5 linked regions of the Macaca mulatta genome follow. The protein of the gene in region 1 binds, or shares a complex with, the protein of each later gene. Links are inferred from orthologs where the notes say so. Each region holds a gene or a part of one and is shown in the gene's direction. Other genes may lie near its edges.

Region 1 (3,508 bases):
AAAAGTTAGCCATAAACTATCTTATTCCATTGAAATGTTAGGCTGAACCCCTAAGAATGTTGATGAGGCCATTCTTGGGTGCCTGTACTGAATTGAACCAAGAGAGGAATATTTAGGATATGTTGAAGAGGCTATTTGGCTCAATGAACAAAGGAGTTTCTGCAGGCCCAGGAAGTGGAATGAAAATTGGCATGATCATTCTGGAGAATATATGGAGTCAAGCAGAGAATGAGAATGGAGTTTTCAAAGAGGATATGTTAGGGGAATAAAGGCTGATAAACAACACTTGTCTTTGTAGGAAAATAGGGAGAGTAAATCAAGGAATTCAAAGGGAAAGAGAAACTCACTTCAAGTAGGGGAGAAAAAACTCCTATAATTTTCACTCTTCTTTGTAGATAAAAAGGAAACAAATGAAAATAAGATATTAGAAGTCAGTAAGAATTTATGGGAGTATAAAGTTGGTTTTATGGATGCAAAGCCCTTTTCATTGCTGTACGAAACTCCTGGCTGCATGCAAACAATGGACATCTGATCTCCTTGCAGCTGTATTTTGCTGTTTTTTGCTCTTGGCTTGTACCTTGCACCCTGGGTCTGTGGGAAACCAGAACTGTCCCAGAGTTCTGGAGGGTAGGCCAAGGTTAGATACTGGAGTGGGTTCTTTAATTTATTGTACTGATTCTTCTTAGGGAAGAATGAAGATTGCTTGTTAGAATTTTAGCTATGAGAGATGACTCTGAAACAGTAAATTAACTCCAATGACCTGAGTCATTTTGAAAACTCCCAGTTTCAGGATAAAAAATATAATCCTATTTAGAAATTCCTGGTGTGATCACAGATGTAGCATTGGTTCTTTTCACAAAACCCGTAAATTAAAAAGTACATAATCCAAAGTCAATTAAATAGTAAGATATTATAACAAATTCTTTTATTTCATTAGCTTTTCAAAATGTGGATAACACACACTCAACCCAAGGAATTTACATTTTTCCACTGACTGCTAAAAATCAATGGAAATAACTCTAGTCCTGGTAGCACCTCACTGTGGGGTGACCTACCTTTGAAATAATTTATTGGTTCCAGCTGATTTTTACATTGTTAGTCATTAAGTTAGGCTTGATGAGAAACATATAATTTGAGTTGGGGATTCAAGTATTATATTGCATTTCTCTTCACAACTAGAGATAAATTCGTCATGGTTTTTCTTTTCATAGGCTCATGCCAAAGTCTGGCATCTCTACAATACTTCTTTCCGTCCCACTCAGGGAGGCCAGGTGTCCATCGCCCTAAGCTCTCACTGGATCAATCCTCGAAGAATGACCGACCATAGCATCAAAGAATGTCAAAAATCTCTGGACTTTGTACTAGGCTGGTTTGCCAAACCCATATTTATTGATGGTGACTATCCCGAGAGCATGAAGAATAACCTTTCGTCTCTTCTGCCTGATTTTACTGAATCTGAGAAAAAGTTCATCAAAGGAACTGCTGACTTTTTTGCTCTTTCCTTTGGTCCAACCTTGAGTTTTCAACTTTTGGACCCTCACATGAAATTCCGCCAATTAGAATCTCCCAGCCTGAGACAACTGCTTTCCTGGATTGACCTTGAATATAACCATCCTCAAATATTTATTGTGGAAAATGGCTGGTTTGTCTCAGGGACCACTAAGAGAGATGATGCCAAATATATGTATTACCTCAAAAAGTTCATCATGGAAACCTTAAAAGGTATGATTTTGGGTAAAGTTCTCATTTCCTGCCAAAGTCTTCTAGAAAAAAATCTCCAAGATTATCTAACATGAACTATGTGAATTTATATTTTTAAATCCTAATGGAGACATTCAATTTGGCAATAGTAGGAATGCATTCGTGTAACACCTTTCTCATTTGGGGTCTTGAGGAACTTGAAGTAATTTTTAAAAACCCATTTGTAAATGAGAAACTGGGTTATAATATTTGTAATTACTTAACTTTCAGAGTTACTAATCTAGATTTTTAGATTAAATTGAACATAAATCCCAGGATATCTAGCTCTCTGCACATGTTTTTCAGTTCTTGTTATTTTGGTTGAGTAAAACACTTTAAAGGAAAAGGAATGTCCATGTTTCCTAGAGAAAACAGTATAAATAGATCATGCTTTTAAAGCCTTCATTTATTTATTTATTGCATCAGACACAATGCTGGGTGTCTAGGATGGAAAGTGGTACAAGACATCTTTCCAGCCCTGTAGAACATCTATTATAAATAAGGAATTATTCTGTCGAGGTGCTCAGAAATCCAAAAAAACATATTGATAGGCCTATTTTGAGGGCATTTATTTGTAGAGTTATATAGGTTTGATTAGAGTGTTTGTCAAGAAGAGAAATCATTGGCTTACCAAACAAGAAGCATTACACTTTATTTAAGTAGGAGAACGCTCAGATGCTCTTGAATCATGATGCAAGTGCCCAGCGAAGGGTCGTGTTGCTCTTGTCCCCTCTTCCCTTTGCAGCCATCAAGCTGGATGGGGTAGATGTCATCGGGTACACCGCGTGGTCCCTCATGGACGGTTTCGAGTGGCACAGAGGTTACAGCATCAGGCGTGGACTCTTCTATGTCGACTTTCTAAGCCAGGAAAAGACGTTGTTGCCAAAGTCTTCAGCCTTGTTCTACCAAAAGCTGATAGAGAAAAATGGCTTCCCTCCTTTACCTGAAAATCAGCCCCTAGAAGGGACATTTCCCTGTGACTTTGCTTGGGGAATTGTTGACAACTACATTCAAGTAAGTCAGCTGGCAAAACCTATCAGCAGTCTCACCAAGCCCTATCACTAGTAAGTAGTGCTTCCTTCCTAGGCTGATTGTCACGGCACATTGTCCGTTCTTAGAGCCAAAACCAATTCCTTATGAGCACACTAAGGATACAGTTTGGAATGTTGCACCCTGCTCTCCAGAAATCTTCCTATCTTCATCTTGTTTAAGTTAGATGCAAAGAGAAATAAATTTAAAACATATCAATATTTAAGATCCGATTAAGACAGTGAAAAGATAAAACACTCTCTTTTCACATTGTGGTTTTTGATCCTTTTTAAGGCAGTTGAGTTTTTTCACGAACAGGATCTAACACAAAACTCCAAAGCCTCCGAGTTTCAGTGGTGGGGCTGAGACAGAGGCAGGAACATGAGGCGGACTCCTCCAGAGGCACAACTGTGGGCTCCACAAATGTGCAGAGATACCCTAAGAAAGTAAACCCTAGATCCAGTGATTCACTGGTCAGAATGTCTTTTTTAGCAATAGTCTTTGAAATGATATGAAATTTCTTCAAAATGATCAACCAATATTTATTGAGCATCTTCTCAGTAGTAAGCCCTTAACATTCTTTTAAATTTCCCAAATTTTGAAGGGACTTGTTTTCCAGCATTTGATTGGATACTCTAGTAAGCACTTATTGGATGTCTAGTGTCTCCAAAGCCTTGTGTTAGTTGCTCGGGTCGCTTGGTTAAGCGGAATGCAGGTAGAGGGTACACTGAGATGCGTA
Region 2 (4,178 bases), on another chromosome or scaffold:
TCCCAAAGTGCTGCAATTACAGGTGTGAGCCACCGCCCCCCTCCCCCAACTCTTTTCTTAAATTAGCCAGGGAGGCGTGGGTGGGGTGGGTGAGGAGTTGGGTGGGGGTAACTCATTCAGTATTCAAACTTCTACAAGTTTTGGGGATGAGGTGAACAGGCCCTGCCACTAACTTACATAGTGACTTCTATTTGTGTAGTATTTTTGGTCCACGGAGAGCTATCATTTTATTTGATTCTTACGATCATCTTGTGAAGGAGTATCAACAGATACTGCTGTTTTGATTTTATCAGATACAAGATTTGTCGTACATCAAACTTCACAAATGATGGACAGAATGGAGGAATCCTTCAGACCTAGTGCTGCCTACTTCCCACCCCAACGGTGGCCTCAGCCTGGGCTTTCACATCACAGGCCCCACGGAGACTTGGAAAAAATACAGGCTTTTGGCTCCTTCTTGGGACAGCCTGATTCCTCATGTCTGAGCAGGCCCATGAATTTGTATTTTTCAGACGTTCCCTGGAGGACCCGTGTCCATCTGGATTAGGAAACCACTACATTATACCACCCCGCGGCAAGACTCAGGGGGAAGAATTTAGCCACTTTCCTGAGTTCCACAGTACTGGAGGGTGTTCTGAGTGGGCTGTGATTAATTTCCAAACCAACCACACCTCTCCCCTCAACTCCCACTTACTCTTTGCTTCCTAGACGTTCACTTCAGGCTGGAGACTTCTGAAGACCAACAACATTGCTGTAGAATTTACAGGGTCCAGTTCCCGGTGGAGCACAAAACCTAAATTATGTGGCTGGGGAAAGCGGAGATCCAATGGAAGGGTGTGAGGAGGGGCTGACCTTCTCATAATAAAACCAGCTTGTATTTACTAGGTGTTAACTATGCGCCAGGCCCTCGTTGACCTCTCGACTCTATACGAAAAAGCACTATTATCCCCCTTTCACAGATGGGAAAACCGAGATTTAGAACGCGAAAATCATTCCCCAAGGTGCACAGACTCCAAAGTCCACGCTACCAGGTACAATCTCAAGGCTGCGGCGTCTCTTCACCTGTCCCCCACACCCCCCCAAACTGCAGCTATGTCTAGGGCCTGACATTCCGGCGCCCTCTGGGACGCGCTCAGATGCAGGGGCGCAAGCGCCAAAGGAGACCAGGCTGCAGGAAGAGAAGGGCAGAGCGCCGGACAGCTCGGCCCGCTCGGCCGGCTCCCCCTCCTCTGGGGCCGCGGCTGGAGAACTACAAGGCCCAGCAGGCAGCGGCAGGGGGCGGAGGCGGAGGAGGGACCAGCGCCGGTGGGAGTGAGAGGGCGAGCCCTCGCGCCTCGCCGGCGCACAGCGCTCGGAGCGCTCCTTCGGCCACAGGCGCGGCGTCCTCGGCGGCGGGCGGCAGTGAGCGGGAGCCGGGACGCTGGTGCAGCCGTAGCGCGCGGAGGAACCCGGGCTGTGCCGGCAGCAGGGCCACGTCCGGACGGGACCGAGACTCCGCGTAGCGCATTGCGGCGACCTCGCCTTCCCCGGCCGCGAGCGCGCAGCTGCTCGAAAAGCCGCGGAACCCGAGGACTTTCTCCCGTCCGAGCTCGGGGCGCCCCACAGGGCGCACGGTACCCGTGCTGCAGTCGGGCACGCCGCGGCGCCGGGGCCTCCGCGGAACGATGGAGCCCGGTCTGCAAGGAGCGTGAGACGCCGCCGCCGCGGTCTGGAAAAGAGGGGCACAAGGTCTGGAGACCCCGGGCGGCGGACGGGAGCCCTCCCCCCGCCCCGCCTCCGGGGCATCAGCTCCGGCTCCATTGTTCCCGCCCGGGCTGGAGGCGCCGAGCACCGAGCGCCGCCGGGAGTCGAGCGCCGGCCGCGGAGCTCTCGCGACCCCGCCAGGACCCGAAAAGAGCCCGGGGGCGGCGGGCCGGAGCCGGGGACGCGGGCACACGCCCGCTCGCGCAAGCCACGGCGGACTTTCCCGAGGCGGAACCTCCACGCCGAGCGAGGTAAGAGTCGCGGCGCCCCCGGATCCGGGGCTGGCTTGGCGTCCCGAGCGGCCCCCGGCGCCGGAGCCTCCCGGCTGCGCGCTTTGCCCGCCGCAGCCCAGCCGGGACCGGCGCCTCCCTCCGCTCGCCGCCCGCCCCCTCCACCTCCCGGCTCCCTCCCGGGCGATCCGCGCCCCCCTTGGGTCTCTCCTCCCTTCCCTCCGCCCGCGTCTCCTTCTGCGCCCCCTCCCTACGCTCGTCCCGCCGCTCTTCCCGCTGCCCAACTTTTCCGCCAACTCGCGCTCGGGAGCTGGCGAGGCGGCGGCGGCTCCTCGGTGAGTCCTGGGAAGGACAGGCCCGGGGCGAAAGCGGCGAGGCCCGCGGTTTCCTGGACTGGGGAGGAGGGCGGGAGTGGGCGGCGAGGTGGGGTGCGTTGTGTGTGTGTTGTGTGTGTGTTGCATTCCACTCCATCTCTTTTTGGTCCCCTTTTGGGGATTCACCCCCAATTCAGCAGGTAGCTTTGGGCTCAACGCTAAAAATCCAGGACATTCCTCAGTCCTTTTCCATCCCCGCTAAACCTGGGGTCCGGGTTGTGGGCGAATGGAGTAGGGGATGAACTGCAGAGGACGTGGAGGGCTAGGTTAGCTTCTCTTGGAATAGGCTTTAAGGAGGTGTCGTCACCAAATGGCTGAATCTGCTTGAGCTGAGAGCGAAAAACGACTCCGCTTTCCAGAAGGGGTGATCTTATGACTTGGACGGTCTCTGAGAGGGTCGGAAGTTTGGGGAACGGGAGGACGACCCACAGTCGTTAAGCCGAGGTATGGGACGGGGGCGGGAGGGCCGTTCCGTCCCAATCTCGTTCCTGGAGGTGGGGGAAGGGATGAGGTTTTTGTCCGGTGCGGTTCACTCGGCAGCGATGCGTAGGCTTCTCTGGCCCAGACCCCTCTGCACCCCGCTTCCCCTCCCGTTATGTTTAGGGTTGGGAGAAAAGGGAGGCTACGACCCATGTTTGCAGAGGAATTTGTGGACCTTGTAGATGGGGTTCATATAGAACACACGCCCCCTATGAAGCAGCCAGACACTTTTTTGGTGGTGGTGGGGCGGGGGGTGTGAAGCGTGTTTCTTGTTCTGGTCCCAGAAGCTATCAACCCGTTTGAAAAACATTACCACGATGTCTTTCTCCCCCAGCCCTCCCCCACCCCCATTTTCCAGATGTAACAGCCGCATCTGGTTCCGTTTCACCCCACACGGGTACACCGCAGCCGCGTTATTAACTTCCCTCTTCCTCCCCTCCCCCTCCCCCAAATTGAAACTCGGATTCTTCAACTCGTCTTGACCACCTCCCTCCTTAACATTTCTGGAGACATGGAGATGCGGCGTTGAGAAAAGAAAGTTCCCTTGGATCCCGAGTTATCGAAGATCTCACTAAGTTAGTTGTTCGCCGCCGCTAGTGGGTGGCGGCGGTCGGGGTGCTTTCTGGATTGCGCAGAAAAGAGGCATCTTGGGAGATGGGTCCAAGGTTTTAGGGGGTGGCATTCGCGAACGGTTCATCCGCTAGACTAGGGGAGGCTCTTTGGCTGTGCGTCTGGCCAGAACTGGCCTTGACGATGGAAGTTTCTGGAACCAAAGCGTTGCTTTCTCTCCCTTGTGTTATAGCTGGAGCTGCGAGAGCGCCTGCCCTGCCCGGAGCCCGCGGTCCCCTCTCGGCCGCCCCTCGGTGGCGTCACGCGCCCCTCCCGGAGCGAGCCCGGTGCGCTGGGCCGGGGGCGTGGGCGACTGCTGCCAGAGGCGCTCCCTGTGTGTTTTTAAGGACTGATTTGGGACGCATCCCCCGGAAACTAAAGTGGGGCGTTTTACCATTTAAGTAACGGCTACAGGTTTGAAAGCGGGGGGTTGGATTGTCCAGTTGTGTTTGGTAATAGTCTTTGAGGCAGGAAAGCGCCTTGTGGTCCAAAGTTGCGGGAGGGTGGAGAGAGTCAGTCTCTCTCACCCTCTTCTTTCCAGCCTCTCTCAGATTGAAAACACTTCTCTGGTTTCCTTCTTTGGGCGGTAGTTTTGGAGGCTGTAATGAAATCGCACTTTCTCTAGACGTGGTAATTAAGGTGACTGTTTCCTCCGCAGATGTGCCCTACCCTTTGCACCTCCGGACCAGGGCTTTTTTTGGAATACTATCTAGCCTTGAGACTGTTTAGCAGAAAGTGGCCA
Region 3 (4,230 bases), on another chromosome or scaffold:
TTGTGCCTTTGACATGGAAAAACTGAGATCTCAATTTCTCCATGTAAAGTATTAAAATCTTGATAATGCATGGTGTGCCCCTCTCACAGAGTGGCAGTGAGGTTCAAATGAGCTAATAGATGTGAAAATGCTTTGTAAACTATTAAAAAAAACTGCACAAATGTAGGGTAACAGATGCCATTTCTTTCTGTCTATACCTGTATGCTTGCACTCATTTTGTATTACGGTTACTTATTTTTATCTGCCTCCTGCAGTAGATTTGAGCTCCTCGAGATAGGAATCACATCTTGCTGTCTCCTATATCAACTTGTACGTGATGTCTAGCTTGATGCCTGTACATGGCATGTACTCAGTACATGGGAAATTGGAAGAGGAGCAGTCTCCTTGGGTATTTTTTCGGGTGTATGTTGCAGTAGCTTGCTCCCCTTTAGACTGTGCGTGCCAGGACTATTTCCCCCAACATGAGGTGTAGCTTCCCAGAGGGCGCACTGTGAACAGCATCTGCAGGCAGGCATCCAGCACCAAGCTGAGCACTCATGTACAGACACTAAATGTGGGGACACCCTGTCCTGAGGCTCGGATTCCCGGTGCTCAGCCAGCAGCCTTTCCAATCCCCATGAGGTCTCTGAACGGGTCTCCTTACTCCTGGAGAGACTATTCATTTAGTTGTCCTCGATAGTCCAAACTAGGGAAACTGAGAAATTGAAACTTGGCATGTTCAGCGAAGTCCAAACTAAGGACGCTGAGAAATCGAACCTTGGCATGTTCAGGGACCTCAAGACCTTGCTTCTTTTTCTTCCATTTCAAAATCTTCCCAAAATGGCAACTTTGGTTTTTGTGCCCCTGCTCCCAGCTCCCATCTTTCACGAATTGGGGGTTCTCAGAGGATGCCATCTGCCTGACGGTGTCATGTATCTCTATATCCTACAAGCTAGCCACCGAATCCTGCTCATAGATTAAGCACTGGATACATACTTGCTGATTGGAATTTAAAGAAAACCAAAATAAGTAAACTCGACGGGAGATTAATTGCCTGGGAGTCGGTTGACTGCTTGACTGAAGCTGGATTTTTTTTGGGAACCGCTGGCTGCCTTCGCATTTCCTGATGGACGTGGGACAGGTCAACAGACAGCCCAGAGCGGCAGATAACTTTTGCCCACGCGTCATTCATTTTTTTGGAGCGTTGGCTTGAAATTGAGGGGGGTGTGTGTGTCTGGAACCGACGTGCCTTCCGTGCGCCTCCGGGGTCTCTGCACTCTCTTTCAATGGGCTGATTACAACACAGAGGATGTGGACAGCGGAGTTTTTCCTGTTTGATGTCACACTGCTACCCTTTAAAAGTCTGATGGCAAAAAGGAGGGAATTCAGTCTAGGATCCTCACACCAGCTACTTGCAAGGGAGAAGGAAAAGGCCAGTGAGGCCTGGGCCAGGAGAGTCCCGACAGGAGTGTCAGGTTTCAATCTCAGCACCAGCCACTCAGAGCAGGGCGTGATGTTGGGGGCCCGCCTCAGGCTCTGGGTCTGTGCCTTGTGCAGCGTCTGCAGCATGAGCGTCATCAGAGCCTATCCCAATGCCTCCCCATTGCTCGGCTCCAGCTGGGGTGGCCTGATCCACCTGTACACAGCCACAGCCAGGAACAGCTACCACCTGCAGATCCACAAGAATGGCCACGTGGATGGCGCACCCCATCAGACCATCTACAGTGAGTAGGACTTCAAGCTGGGAAGAAGGGGTGCGCCCCTGTTGTCCATCTACAGGGGGCTTGGGGAGGTTGGGGACTAGACTGGAGGGCTAATCCAACCCTCCAAGCTTTCTGCCCAGGAACCACTTATTGTCTGTGTGTGTGTGTGTGTGTGTGTGTATTTAAATCTTAGGGGAAGATTCTGTCACTCTCCTAATTAGTATTTGCTGGTTTTTCTAACATGCATACTTTTTGTTTAAACTAAAACCCTTCCCACAGTAGGAGCCATATTCCCTTTGCCCCATCAAAAGATTCAGAAAATATACTGAAAGAAAAGCAAGGAGTCTAAGAGAAAAAGAAGCCAGGCAGATCAACAGACACTAAGTTTCAGCTCCTGGACTTCAGGCTGGGTTAACTAGGCAGGTTGGAAAGAAGATTCCCAGGTCATACCCAGATTGTAATAGATAAATCTGGGGGCTCTTTCCAATTCTGGCCTTATAAAAATTCTTGGAAAAATGTATTAAACACAGACTGTCCAGGAATGTTGTCTTGGTGAGAATGGCCAAGTATACAACCCATCCACCCATTCATTTGTCCATGCATCCATCCATCCAACCTTTAAACTTTAACAGGTTTAAAGGCTGTTTCAGATACTCAGGTACCCCGGTACCCAGTACGCATTGGTGATTCTTCTCCGTGGAACTGAAAGGTGTCCAGTCAGTAGCAAATCAAGCTAGTTAGAAACTTATTGGCAATGTGAGACAACTGGAATGTTTTTAAAGATCAGGTTTGTGGAGAATCGGATCACAATCCACAATAATCAATCCATTAGCAATGATTCAAATGAGGGCCACTTTGTGCGCACCTATATAAGGGGTAATGTGGTGGGAGCAGGGATATTGAAAAAGACTGGATCTTCTATTTTAAGAAAACATGTGAATACCTCTAAGAATATATAAAAATGCAAAGTGATCCAATATAGCTCAAATTAAGGGAAAGAAAAATTAGTTAGACAATCTCTAACTAAAGAAAACATAGGAATTATGATTTGCCTTTTATTGTTGTAATAAGTTAATTATTTTTGCTGTGACCTTGCTGTGTGTGAGGCATTTATTCTTCTAGGAACCAAAGGTCCTTAAACCTGGTTGCAAGATATATAACATGCAAAATTAAGTTGCAAGATATATGACATGCGAAATTGACAGTTTAAACCTCCTCAAGTGCTAGATGCATATTGATAGGAGATAAAAGGAGAGAGAAAAGTTCTCTCCAAATACCAAACAGGTTCCAGAACTCTAGAGGATATACTAAGACTCAGGAGTCAACATCTTGGAAACCAAGTGTGAGTCTCGTGGCAAAAATTTCAATTAAATCTGGATATACTTGATGAACCCCAAGTGTTGTTCATTTTATTCAATGGATATTTAACAGGATCTACAATGTGCCTGGCATTCTATCAAGCTCTGTGACTGAAAAGTAAGACACAACCCCTCAAGGACCTTGTGGTCTGTCGTCCTGCCTTGTCAGCTAGCTCACTACCAGACTTTAGGAAACGCGACTTTGCGCCTCTCATGGAGTGGCCACTCTTACTCTAATTCAAGACTCTATGTGATTTAAAATGCAGAATAGTAGATGATGGTAAATTGTTTTGATTCTCTTAGATGGAAAGGGCGGCATCCAACTAGAGAATGTTTACACAACTTGTCTCGAATCCTGGAATCCCATTGCTGAAAGGAACTCCTTAAAGACGTTTCCTCCTGAACAAGAATTAGGGTAGAACGGAACAGGCTGGCTACGGTGGGGAGTGAGTGTGAAGAGTCGACCTCCTGGGCTGGCATTCTGAACTGTAGACCTTTTCCTTGAAAACCCACCTCGTATCAGGCCCCAAGGGATCACTGAGTGCTAGCTGAATTAAAAGGATTGAGAGGCAGCAAAACAAATGGAACTGACTTCAGATCTTTAAAAACAGAAATACGGTTTTGTTTTCTTAGACACAGGCACTAGCTAAACATTGCATCTTTAAAGAGTTAAACACGAATATGGGGAGGGGAACTTAGGGTCAGGGGAGTGGGAGAAAGATCTGCTTTTCCTAGTCTATGTAGATAACTTTTTGTACTGTTCAATCAGTTGTCACGTGTATTATGGGGGGGAAAAAGTGCAGGAAAAAAATTACACAATACAATTAAAAGTTACCCAAAAGAGGCCAGGTGTGGTGGCTCATGCATATAATCCCAGCACCTTGGGAGGCCAAGGCAAGAGAATCACTTGAAGTCAGGGGTTAAAGACCAGCCTGGCCAACATGGGGAAACCCTGTGTCTACTAAAAATACAAAAATTAGCTGGGCGTGGTGGTGCGCGCCTGTAATCCCAGCTACTTGGGAGGCTGAGGCAGGAGAGTTGCTTGAACCCAGGAGGCGGAGGTTGCAGTGAGCTGAGATCACACCACTGTGCTCCAGCCTGGGCGACAGAGCGAGACTCCGTCTCAAAAAAAAAAAAAAAAAGTTACGTAAAAAGAAAGAGGAAAGATTAATGCACGTAGATAAGAATCA
Region 4 (4,052 bases), on another chromosome or scaffold:
ATGGTCTGGGGACATGGACTTGGCCAGAGCAGGAAACAAGGGTGGCCGAGGACAAGTGCTGAGCCACCAAGTGGGCACAGAGAGGTGGGCATGAGGGCTCCCTGGGAGCAGAGCCCTTCCAAGGCCCTGAGGTCAGTCCAGGGACACCCTGGCCTCTGGGAGCTGCAGGGTTGAGCTGTGCATGGGCTGGGTAGGGTCAGCAAACAGCCAGTCACTGAGGGACTTTTAGCGCCCATTTTCCTGATGACTACATTTAGTCCTGGAAGCCACAAGCCAGGCGGGCAGCAGACTCGGCCGGCCCTCCCCCCAGCTCACTGGCTCCCATGGGCTCCGGACCCCCTTGGGCTTTGCCTGAAGATGGGAGCAGTTGGCCTTTTCCTTGTGAGGGTGGACACAGAAGCTAACAGTCATGTGGGGTAAGGGGACCCAGACACCCGCAGCGTCCCCCGCAGGGCAGTATCTTCCCCTCCTGGGAACCCACCTCACCAGTCCCAACCCTCCTCAGCTGGACTCTGAGCCCGCCCCGTGGAGCCTAGAACCTCGGGCCAGCTCAGGCTCTGCCACCAGCTCTTCGTTATTCTCCCTCAGAGCCGGGCTGCGCTCCCCAAGCCAGGGGTCTCCAGCCCCTGCCCTTCATTCTAGGCCGGGCAGGCAGCCAGTCCCAGGCCTGTGTCCTCCTGGGGGGCAGGGGTAGGGACCTCTCGGGGCTGGGCACTCAGGCGGCTTAGGTGCATGCGGCTCGGCCCCAGGTTAGTCAACGCAGCCTCTGCTCCTTGCCAGTCAGGTACGCAGGCCGCACCGGGCTGCCCCAGGCCTGCGGCGCACACCGGAGGCTCGGCCTGGAATGCCGCCCTGCCCTCCTCCACCTGAGGAATTCCCGCTCACACCACAGGGTTCAGCTCCGCGGCATCTTGGCGACGCCTCCTGACATCCCGACCCCCGCCGAGACCTCCCCTCTGAGCTCCTGAGCACAGCCTCAGGGGACCCGAGCTGCGCGCTGTGCAAACGGAAGCCTGCGCTCGCCCTCGGTGCGCCCCGTGCCCACCGCCCACCGGGCCGCCCCGCGGTGCGATTGGGGGCCTCGCCCGCCTGCCCCGGCTCCCACGCCCTCGAGACCGCCGGGCGCCCCCGCCCGGCCACGCCCCCTCGGATGCCCCGCTCCGCCCCGAGGGGGCGTGCCTTGCGCCCCGGCGAGTCGGGCGGGGGCCGGGCGGGAGCGGGGCGGGGCCGGGGCGGGGCGCGGACCGTCCCCCACTGGCTGCGGCGCGCGGGGCAACCCAGGCTCAGTGCGCGGTGGCGGCGGCGGCGGCGGTGGCGGCGTCGCGAGCAGCTGGCGCCGCGCGGTCCTGCTCTGCCGGTCGCACGGACGCACCGGCGGGCCGCCGGCCGGAGGGACGGGGCGGGAGCTGGGCCTGCGGACAGCGAGCCGGAGCGGGAGCCGCGCCTAGCGAGCCGGACTCCGGCGCCCGCCAGGTCGGTGCTTGGGTCCGGGCAGGCGCGCGGAGGGGTCCAACGGTGCGCGCGGAGGGGCCGGGGCGCGGCAGTCGCGGAACCACAGCAGTCCCTGCGGCGGGCCGGGCCGGGGCGCGGGCTTCCCGCTCCGGAAAGTTTGCCGCCGCCGCCGCCGCCCTGGGAGGGCTCTGCAGCAGCCAGGGAGGGAAGGGGGAGGAGGGAGGAACCGCGGCGGGGAGGAGGCGGCCGGCGCCAGGCGGCCCGGGAGCTCTGGGCGGCGGCGGCGGCGGGCGGGGCGGCTGGGGGTCGGAGGGGTCGGGGCGCAGGAGCCGGCCACCGCCGCTTTCGTCCCTACCCGCGCCGCTAACGAGCTGCCCTCCTCCTCCCGCAGTTTCCCAAGCGGCGCCCGCCTCCCGCCGGTGCCCGCGCCGGGCCGTGGGGGGCAGCATGCCCGCGTGCGCCGCCTGAGGACGCCGCGGCCCCCGCCCCCGCCATGGGCGCCCCTGCCTGCGCCCTCGCGCTCTGCGTGGCAGTGGCCATCGTGGCCGGCGCCTCCTCGGAGTCCTTGGGGACGGAGCAGCGCGTCGTGGGGCGAGTGGCAGGTAAGAAGGGACCCACTGGGCACGGGAGGGGCCGGCCCGTGCGGGCAGAGGCGTTGGGGACGGGAACCGGCCCCAGGTCGGAGGGAACTCCGGGTGTGAGTGACGCCCCGGGGTCAGCGCCCGGATTCCGCTGTCTCCGTCCCGGAGAGCGCGGCCAGCGGTAGCGCGGCGACTTGTGGGGCGCCTGGAGCCGCAGGTACCCCCCAAATGCGAGGCCGCCACTGGGAGCCAGGCCGGGGGTTGGCGTCCGCAGCCCCGTCCCCTGCGGCTCCCCAGCCCTGGCCTGTCGGGAGGGCGCGGGTTTCCCCATTTCCACGATTCCCGCTGTTCTTCGGGTTCTGCGCAGACGGAAAGTTCCCATTGTTGGCGTCCCCCTCCCCCGGGCCCCAGTTTGTGGCGAGCTTCGGCCAAGGGGAGAGGCCGGACTTCTGAGGGTGGGTGTGCGCGTCAGCGAAGCCCGGCCCCTGCCCGCCGGACGAGGCTGCAGCCTCCAGCGCCCCCGCTGCCGACCCTGCCAGTGCCTGGGGGCTGAGGGCGCTTCCCCGTGGGTGCGCGCCGAGCTCCAGGCGAGCGAGGAGCGCGTGTCCCAGCGTCGCGGGCCCTAGACCGGGCTGGCGGTCCAGGTCCTGCGGGACGTCAAGTGTCTGAAGGGAGGTGAGGGGAAGGGGCGCCCGGCCCGCCCTGCACGCGCGCCGCGGTTCCTCGCGGGTCGGGCCGAGAGCTCCGGTGCCGCCGCCCCGTACACGCTGCCGGCTCCGGGCGGGCGAAGGGGGCGCGCACAGCCCAGCCCGGCGGCCGCGCGGAGGGAGGCCCTGGCCCGGTGAGTTCGCGCCCCACCCGGGCCCAGGCCCGAACAGCCGCTCCTTTGTACCTCGGCGCGGCCACAGACCGCGCATTGATGGCGGCGCGGCGGCTCGCGGGGAGGTGTGAGCGGCTGCGGGCGCGGCGGGCCGGGGAGGGCGCCGGGAGGGCCGAGGCAGATGGCGGCCGCCCCGCCCGCGCCCCCGCGCCCCTTTCTCCGGCGGCGGCTGCAGCCTCCCGGAACAATGTCATTTTTTTTATGAATGAAAGTGGCCCGGCGCTTGAATGTGCGTGTCATTCAGCGGCGTGACAGGGGCCGTCGGGAGGTCAGCGCGCGCTTTTAGCGCCTGCTCGGGCGGCCCCGCTTCCAGGGGTGCGGGAGGGGCGGCCGCGGGGGGAGCCTGGCTTTCGTATTCTCATTCAGATAAAGATATTACTCCCTACGGCCCGGGAATGTCAGCCAGCCCCGGGGAGGGGCGGCGGCCAGGCTACAGAGCGTCTCCCGGATCCCCGGCGGGCGCGCGGGGCCTCCCCTTCTCGCCCCTGGAACGCCCCGCCCCCCGCCTTGGGGCGGCGACCCCGCCCGCACTGGAGCTGGTGAAACAGGTAGTGAGTTGATCGGTCAATAAATTTAATCCGGTTCCTTAACAAGATGGGCCGGGCAGTAAAAATACAAAGACCTCGTGAAATGGACTGAGGTCTAGGCTGGCGCTTGCCTGGGAACATAAATTATGGAGCCTTGGCTGGCAGTGGTCAAGGGCGGTGGGGAAGGTTTTGGCCCCTGGACTGCCCTGGCCACCCCAGGCCCTGCCAGGACAGCCGCCATCTCCCCAGAGGGCTGTGTTCCTGGTTGGAGCCTAGGGGGACCCCCCAGGGTGCAGGGAGGAAGACAAGGTCGGCTCTCCCACAGCGCCACACCCCCCAGCAGGGGTCTCGGGGTGCAGGGTCTTTCCTGAAGGTGCTGACTGAATCCTCCCCCACCCCTCCTCTGCCGGGCTGGACTTTGAGCCGCGTGGGCCTCTGGGTGGTTCATTAACCTGGGCTGAGCGTGGCCTCCAGGTCCTTGTGTGAGCCTAGGAACCCCTCGTTACTCACCCCCCAGCCCCCCAGCTCTCAGGTACTTGGAGCTGGAACTGGGAATGGGGCACCCCTTGTTACAGCTGAGCTTGGGTGGGAGTCCAGGGGCTTGGGGGTCTC
Region 5 (3,508 bases), on another chromosome or scaffold:
ACCCTGCCCGACCTGACCAAGCCAGTACTGTGGCTGTCAAGATGCTCAAAGGTGAGTGTGACCCAGCGTGGTGGCTCACACCTGTAATGCCAGCACTTTGGGAGACCGAGGTGGGAGGATCACTTGAATCCAGGAGTTCGAGGCCAACCTGGGCAACATGGCGAGACTTCATCTCTAAAAAAAAAAATAAGAAAATTAGTTGGGTGTGGTGGTGTGTGCCTTTAGTCCCAGTTACTAGGAAGGCTGAGGCAGGAGGATCCCTTGAACCCAGGAGTTGGAGGTTGCAGTGAGCCATGATCACGCCACTGTATTCCAACTTGGGCAACAGAGTGAAACCCTATCTGAAAAAAAAAAAAGAAATAAAAGTAAAAGGTGAATGTGGCAGCCTGGAGGAGGTGCTATGGCATTGGGACTAATAGAAGGGGATCACAGTGCTACCGGGTGAGCCCTGGAGCTGGGAGAGGCTGTGGGATCCCACCTTTAAACCTGCAGTTCAGCTCTGCTCCTGACCCTGGCAAGTGACTTCTGAGCCTCAGTTTTCCCTCGTGTCATATGGGGTAAATAACAGTCCCTACTCCCAGCCCAGGGACTGTGGAAAGTGCCTGGCTCATAGTCAGCCCTCAACAAATCGTCACCATTGGGGTGACGATGATGAGAAGGATTTGGTGTGACAGGCTTGATATCCTCTGTCAGCGTCAGTCTGTGTCAGCCTTGACTTCACCTCTTCTCAGCCTCACAGGCCCTCCCCCGCCTTCCCTGTGGTTCCCCCCAGACACACCCTCAGCCTCCCTGGGACCCTCCCTAGGTCCATCCCGCGTCCACTGCTCTAGGAGGACAGCCCTTCTGCTTGCACCCAGTCCCAGCCCCGAGGGTGCTCTTGCCAGGCACTCCCGTACCCCGCCCATCAGGTCCTCTCGTTGCAGTTCCCCAGCGCCCCCTGCAAGAATGGCCTCAACTGCTCTTCTGCTCCTCCCCTCCTCTCTACACAGCTGGGGCCACCTGGTGCTCCCTGGGAGGCAGGGATTGAGAAATGTGCATTGTGACATTGCCGTGTGTGGGTGGGGAGTGTTACATCACTGGCCCAGGGCCACAGGTCAGCCCCAGGGGCCCAGCCAGAGAAGCCAGAGCAGCCTTCTTCCCAAGCTCCCTGGCTGCGCCCTGCCTGCCGCCGGCTCCCTGAATTCCCAGGCCAGTTGGACGCCAGGCCCTGGTCAAACAGACCCCAGGGTGCCAGCCTGCTTTCCGCTCCCAGAAGCTCTGACCCCATGTAGGGACTACCGCTAACCCCTCCAGAGGCAGCTTCCTTCCTGCTCCGAGCTCTTCCCCTCTCTCCTGTTTCCTGGACCTGCCCACTGGAAGGCCTGCCTCTCAGATCCTTGATATAGTTGCATCCTTGCAACTGCTGTGACAGGTAGGGTGTGACCCACTGCTCTGTTTCCCACAAGACGACCCTGAGGTTCAGAGACACTAGGAGACTTTTTCAAGGCCACACAGACTAGCAAGGATTCAGCCCTAGACCTACGTAGCCCTGGTCCAGTGCTCCTCGCCCTGCCCCTGCCTCTACCTCGCCCTGCCCCTGCCTCTGCCTCGCCCTGCCCCTGCCTCTGCCTCGCCCTGCCCCTGCCTCTGCCTGTTCCCTCATGTAGTTGGAGAGCAGCCTCTTCACCCCATCTGCTGCCCTTACAGACAACGCCTCTGACAAGGACCTGGCTGACCTGGTCTCGGAGATGGAGGTGATGAAGCTGATTGGCCGACACAAGAACATCATCAACCTGCTGGGTGTCTGCACCCAGGAAGGTGGGGCCAAGGCGGGGCCGGCTGCATGGGCCGTTAGGGTACAGAGCCAAAGCTGTGGCAGTCTCTCCGAGCTCCCTCCACTCCCTCTGTAGGGCCCCTGTATGTAATCGTGGAGTGCGCTGCCAAGGGAAACCTTCGGGAGTTCCTGCGGGCCCGGCGCCCCCCGGGCCCTGACCTCAGCCCGGACGGTCCTCAGAGCAGTGAGGGGCCACTCTCCTTCCCAGTCCTGGTCTCCTGCGCCTACCAGGTGGCCCGAGGCATGCAGTATCTGGAGTCCCGGAAGGTACAGGCGGTAGGGCTCTGGGCCCCTCTCGATCTCTCCAGCTCCACTCTCTCAGGCCTGTGGCATTAAATGTCCCCAACTTCTTCCTTTCTGCTCTTTTTCATGACCCCACCTCAGTGTCCCCAGGCATTCATGCTTTCCTGCCTTCCCCACTTGTTCCTCACACTTCCCTAGAAGGGAGAGGGGAGAGGGGAGAGGGGACACAGGAGAGGGCGTTCCCCATTTCTAAACCTTGACCACCTCCTCTGTAAAGTGGGTGGAGGGCCCCTGCCCCTGGGCCTGCTGGGGGGTGGTGTGTGCTCAGCTCAAGGTCAGGTGTCCTGATGCACCCAAGCCCCCACTCCCTGCAGTGTATCCACCGGGACCTGGCTGCCCGCAATGTGCTGGTGACGGAGGACAATGTGATGAAGATAGCTGACTTTGGGCTGGCCCGTGGCATCCACCACATTGACTACTATAAGAAAACCAGCAACGTGAGGGAGATGGGGCAGAACTGGATGGGAGTGGAGGGGGGCTGGGCCTGGGGTGGCAGGCATGGGAACTCGTGGGACTCTGCACTGAGGCCCTCCCTCCCCTCCAGGGCCGCCTGCCTGTCAAGTGGATGGCGCCCGAGGCCTTGTTTGACCGAGTGTACACACACCAGAGTGACGTGTGAGTCCTGCCAGCGGTCACTGTCCTACCCCACAAAAAGGGCAAGGCACTGCCCAAAGTCACATGGCCCCAGGAGGCCTGCGCTCCAGGGCTCCTTCAGATTTGTTCTGGGATCCGAGTGGGACCACACTCCAGGAGGAGCCCACTCCCCACCAGCTGGGGTGGGTCATGCCTGTGGGGTCCCGCGTCCTAGCCCTGGTCTTAGGGAGGGCGCTGGGCCACACTGAGCCCTGGCCCTGCCTCCAGGTGGTCTTTTGGGGTCCTGCTGTGGGAGATCTTCACCCTCGGGGGCTCCCCGTATCCTGGCATCCCGGTGGAGGAGCTGTTCTCACTGCTGCGGGAGGGACATCGGATGGACCGACCCCCACACTGCCCCCCAGAGCTGTGAGGCCTCATCCTGCCCTCGACCCCCACTTTCCAGTCCTCCTCCTCTGCCCTGACCTTGGCCTCAGGGTTTGTGCCGGCCAGAAGGACAACACTAACAACAACTCCTCCTCCTCTTCCTCTTCCTCCTCCTCCTCCTCTCCTCCTCCTCTCCTCCTCATCCTCTCCTCCTCCTCCTCTCCTCCTCATCTTCCTCTCCTCCTCTCCTCCTCCTCCTCTCCTCCTCCTCCTCTCCTCCTCATCCCCTCCTCCTCCTCCTCTCCTCCTCATCTTCCTCTCCTCCTCTCCTCCTCCTCTCATCTTCCTCCTCCTCTTCCTCTCCCTCTTCCTCTCTTCCTCGTCTCCTCCTCCTCCTCTCCTCCTCCTCCTCTCCTCCTCCTCTCCTCTCCTCTT

Evidence for each region.
Region 2: the proteins of KL (region 1) and FGFR1 are in contact, whole or in part, in a cryo-EM structure (PDB 7YSH), measured with the Homo sapiens proteins. The link is inferred for Macaca mulatta from reciprocal best matches to the Homo sapiens genes KL and FGFR1. Residues at the interface, in NP_004786.2 of Homo sapiens: Ser539, Gln540, Phe541, Asp543, Leu544, Asn545, Val546, Tyr547, Leu548, Trp549, Asp550, Val551, Lys555, Arg556, Leu557, Val560, Val563, Thr565, Lys566, Arg568, Tyr571, Val573, Ala576, Glu625, Arg628; in NP_075598.2 of Homo sapiens: Asn272, Gln288, Leu290, His292, Ile293, Asn296, Gly301, Pro302, Leu305, Pro306, Tyr307, Val308, Gln309, Ile310, Leu311, Lys312, Glu322, Leu326, His327, Leu328, Arg329, Asn330, Glu334, Asp335, Thr340, Leu342, Leu349, His351.
Region 3: the proteins of KL (region 1) and FGF23 are in contact, whole or in part, in a cryo-EM structure (PDB 7YSH), measured with the Homo sapiens proteins. The link is inferred for Macaca mulatta from reciprocal best matches to the Homo sapiens genes KL and FGF23. Residues at the interface, in NP_004786.2 of Homo sapiens: Phe377, Lys385, Leu389, Glu390, Pro392, Trp417, Phe418, Ser420, Lys429, Tyr432, Tyr433, Lys436, Phe437, Arg468, Ser471, Ile472, Arg556, Arg693, Asn694, Met695, Thr696, Tyr697, Ile735, Val752, Phe755, Asp756, Asn782, Asn783, Leu785, Ile812; in NP_065689.1 of Homo sapiens: Leu39, Met74, Ala80, Val88, Arg91, Leu166, Ile167, Phe169, Asn170, Ile173, Arg175, His177, Asp184, Ser185, Glu186, Arg187, Asp188, Pro189, Leu190, Asn191, Val192, Leu193, Lys194, Pro195, Arg196, Ala197, Arg198, Met199, Thr200, Pro201.
Region 4: the proteins of KL (region 1) and FGFR3 are in contact, whole or in part, in a cryo-EM structure (PDB 7YSU), measured with the Homo sapiens proteins. The link is inferred for Macaca mulatta from reciprocal best matches to the Homo sapiens genes KL and FGFR3. Residues at the interface, in NP_004786.2 of Homo sapiens: Ser539, Gln540, Phe541, Thr542, Asp543, Asn545, Val546, Tyr547, Leu548, Trp549, Asp550, Val551, Ser554, Lys555, Arg556, Leu557, Val563, Lys566, Arg568, Tyr571, Val573, Ala576, Pro580; in NP_000133.1 of Homo sapiens: Gln286, Leu288, His290, Val291, Val293, Gly299, Thr303, Pro304, Tyr305, Val306, Thr307, Val308, Leu309, Lys310, Glu320, Leu324, Ser325, Leu326, His327, Asn328, Val329, Glu332, Asp333, Thr338, Leu340, Phe347, His349.
Region 5: the proteins of KL (region 1) and FGFR4 are in contact, whole or in part, in a cryo-EM structure (PDB 7YSW), measured with the Homo sapiens proteins. The link is inferred for Macaca mulatta from reciprocal best matches to the Homo sapiens genes KL and FGFR4. Residues at the interface, in NP_004786.2 of Homo sapiens: Ser539, Gln540, Phe541, Thr542, Asp543, Asn545, Val546, Tyr547, Leu548, Trp549, Asp550, Val551, His553, Ser554, Lys555, Arg556, Leu557, Ile558, Val563, Thr565, Arg568, Tyr571, Val573, Ala576, Gln579, Pro580, Glu625, Arg628; in NP_001341913.1 of Homo sapiens: Asp266, Gln282, Leu284, His286, Ile287, Ile289, Gly295, Ala296, Asp297, Gly298, Phe299, Pro300, Tyr301, Val302, Gln303, Val304, Leu305, Lys306, Asn311, Ser312, Glu314, Leu318, Tyr319, Leu320, Arg321, Asn322, Asp327, Thr332, Leu334, Leu341.

What each region holds. Positions count from the first base shown.
Region 1 is NC_133422.1:12,830,299-12,833,806, forward strand, and holds part of KL (klotho), read left to right. Parts: intron 1-1,211; coding exon 1,212-1,722; intron 1,723-2,485; coding exon 2,486-2,754; intron 2,755-3,508. UniProt on the Homo sapiens protein: May have weak glycosidase activity towards glucuronylated steroids. However, it lacks essential active site Glu residues at positions 239 and 872, suggesting it may be inactive as a glycosidase in vivo.
Region 2 is NC_133413.1:40,411,226-40,415,403, reverse strand, and holds the start of FGFR1 (fibroblast growth factor receptor 1 precursor), read left to right. Parts: upstream 1-1,374; 5' UTR 1,375-1,994; exon of another isoform or gene 1,995-2,791; intron 2,792-3,276; exon of another isoform or gene 3,277-3,402; intron 3,403-4,178. UniProt on the Homo sapiens protein: Tyrosine-protein kinase that acts as a cell-surface receptor for fibroblast growth factors and plays an essential role in the regulation of embryonic development, cell proliferation, differentiation and migration.
Region 3 is NC_133416.1:5,266,272-5,270,501, reverse strand, and holds the start of FGF23 (fibroblast growth factor 23 precursor), read left to right. Parts: upstream 1-1,424; 5' UTR 1,425-1,492; coding exon 1,493-1,703; intron 1,704-4,230. UniProt on the Homo sapiens protein: Regulator of phosphate homeostasis. Inhibits renal tubular phosphate transport by reducing SLC34A1 levels. Up-regulates EGR1 expression in the presence of KL. Acts directly on the parathyroid to decrease PTH secretion. Regulator of vitamin-D metabolism.
Region 4 is NC_133410.1:1,910,155-1,914,206, forward strand, and holds the start of FGFR3 (fibroblast growth factor receptor 3), read left to right. Parts: upstream 1-1,252; 5' UTR 1,253-1,473; intron 1,474-1,843; 5' UTR 1,844-1,945; coding exon 1,946-2,054; intron 2,055-4,052.
Region 5 is NC_133411.1:186,058,376-186,061,883, forward strand, and holds part of FGFR4 (fibroblast growth factor receptor 4), read left to right. Parts: coding exon 1-51; intron 52-1,686; coding exon 1,687-1,797; intron 1,798-1,889; coding exon 1,890-2,080; intron 2,081-2,430; coding exon 2,431-2,553; intron 2,554-2,660; coding exon 2,661-2,731; intron 2,732-2,977; coding exon 2,978-3,115; intron 3,116-3,508. UniProt on the Homo sapiens protein: Tyrosine-protein kinase that acts as a cell-surface receptor for fibroblast growth factors and plays a role in the regulation of cell proliferation, differentiation and migration, and in regulation of lipid metabolism, bile acid biosynthesis, glucose uptake, vitamin D metabolism and phosphate homeostasis.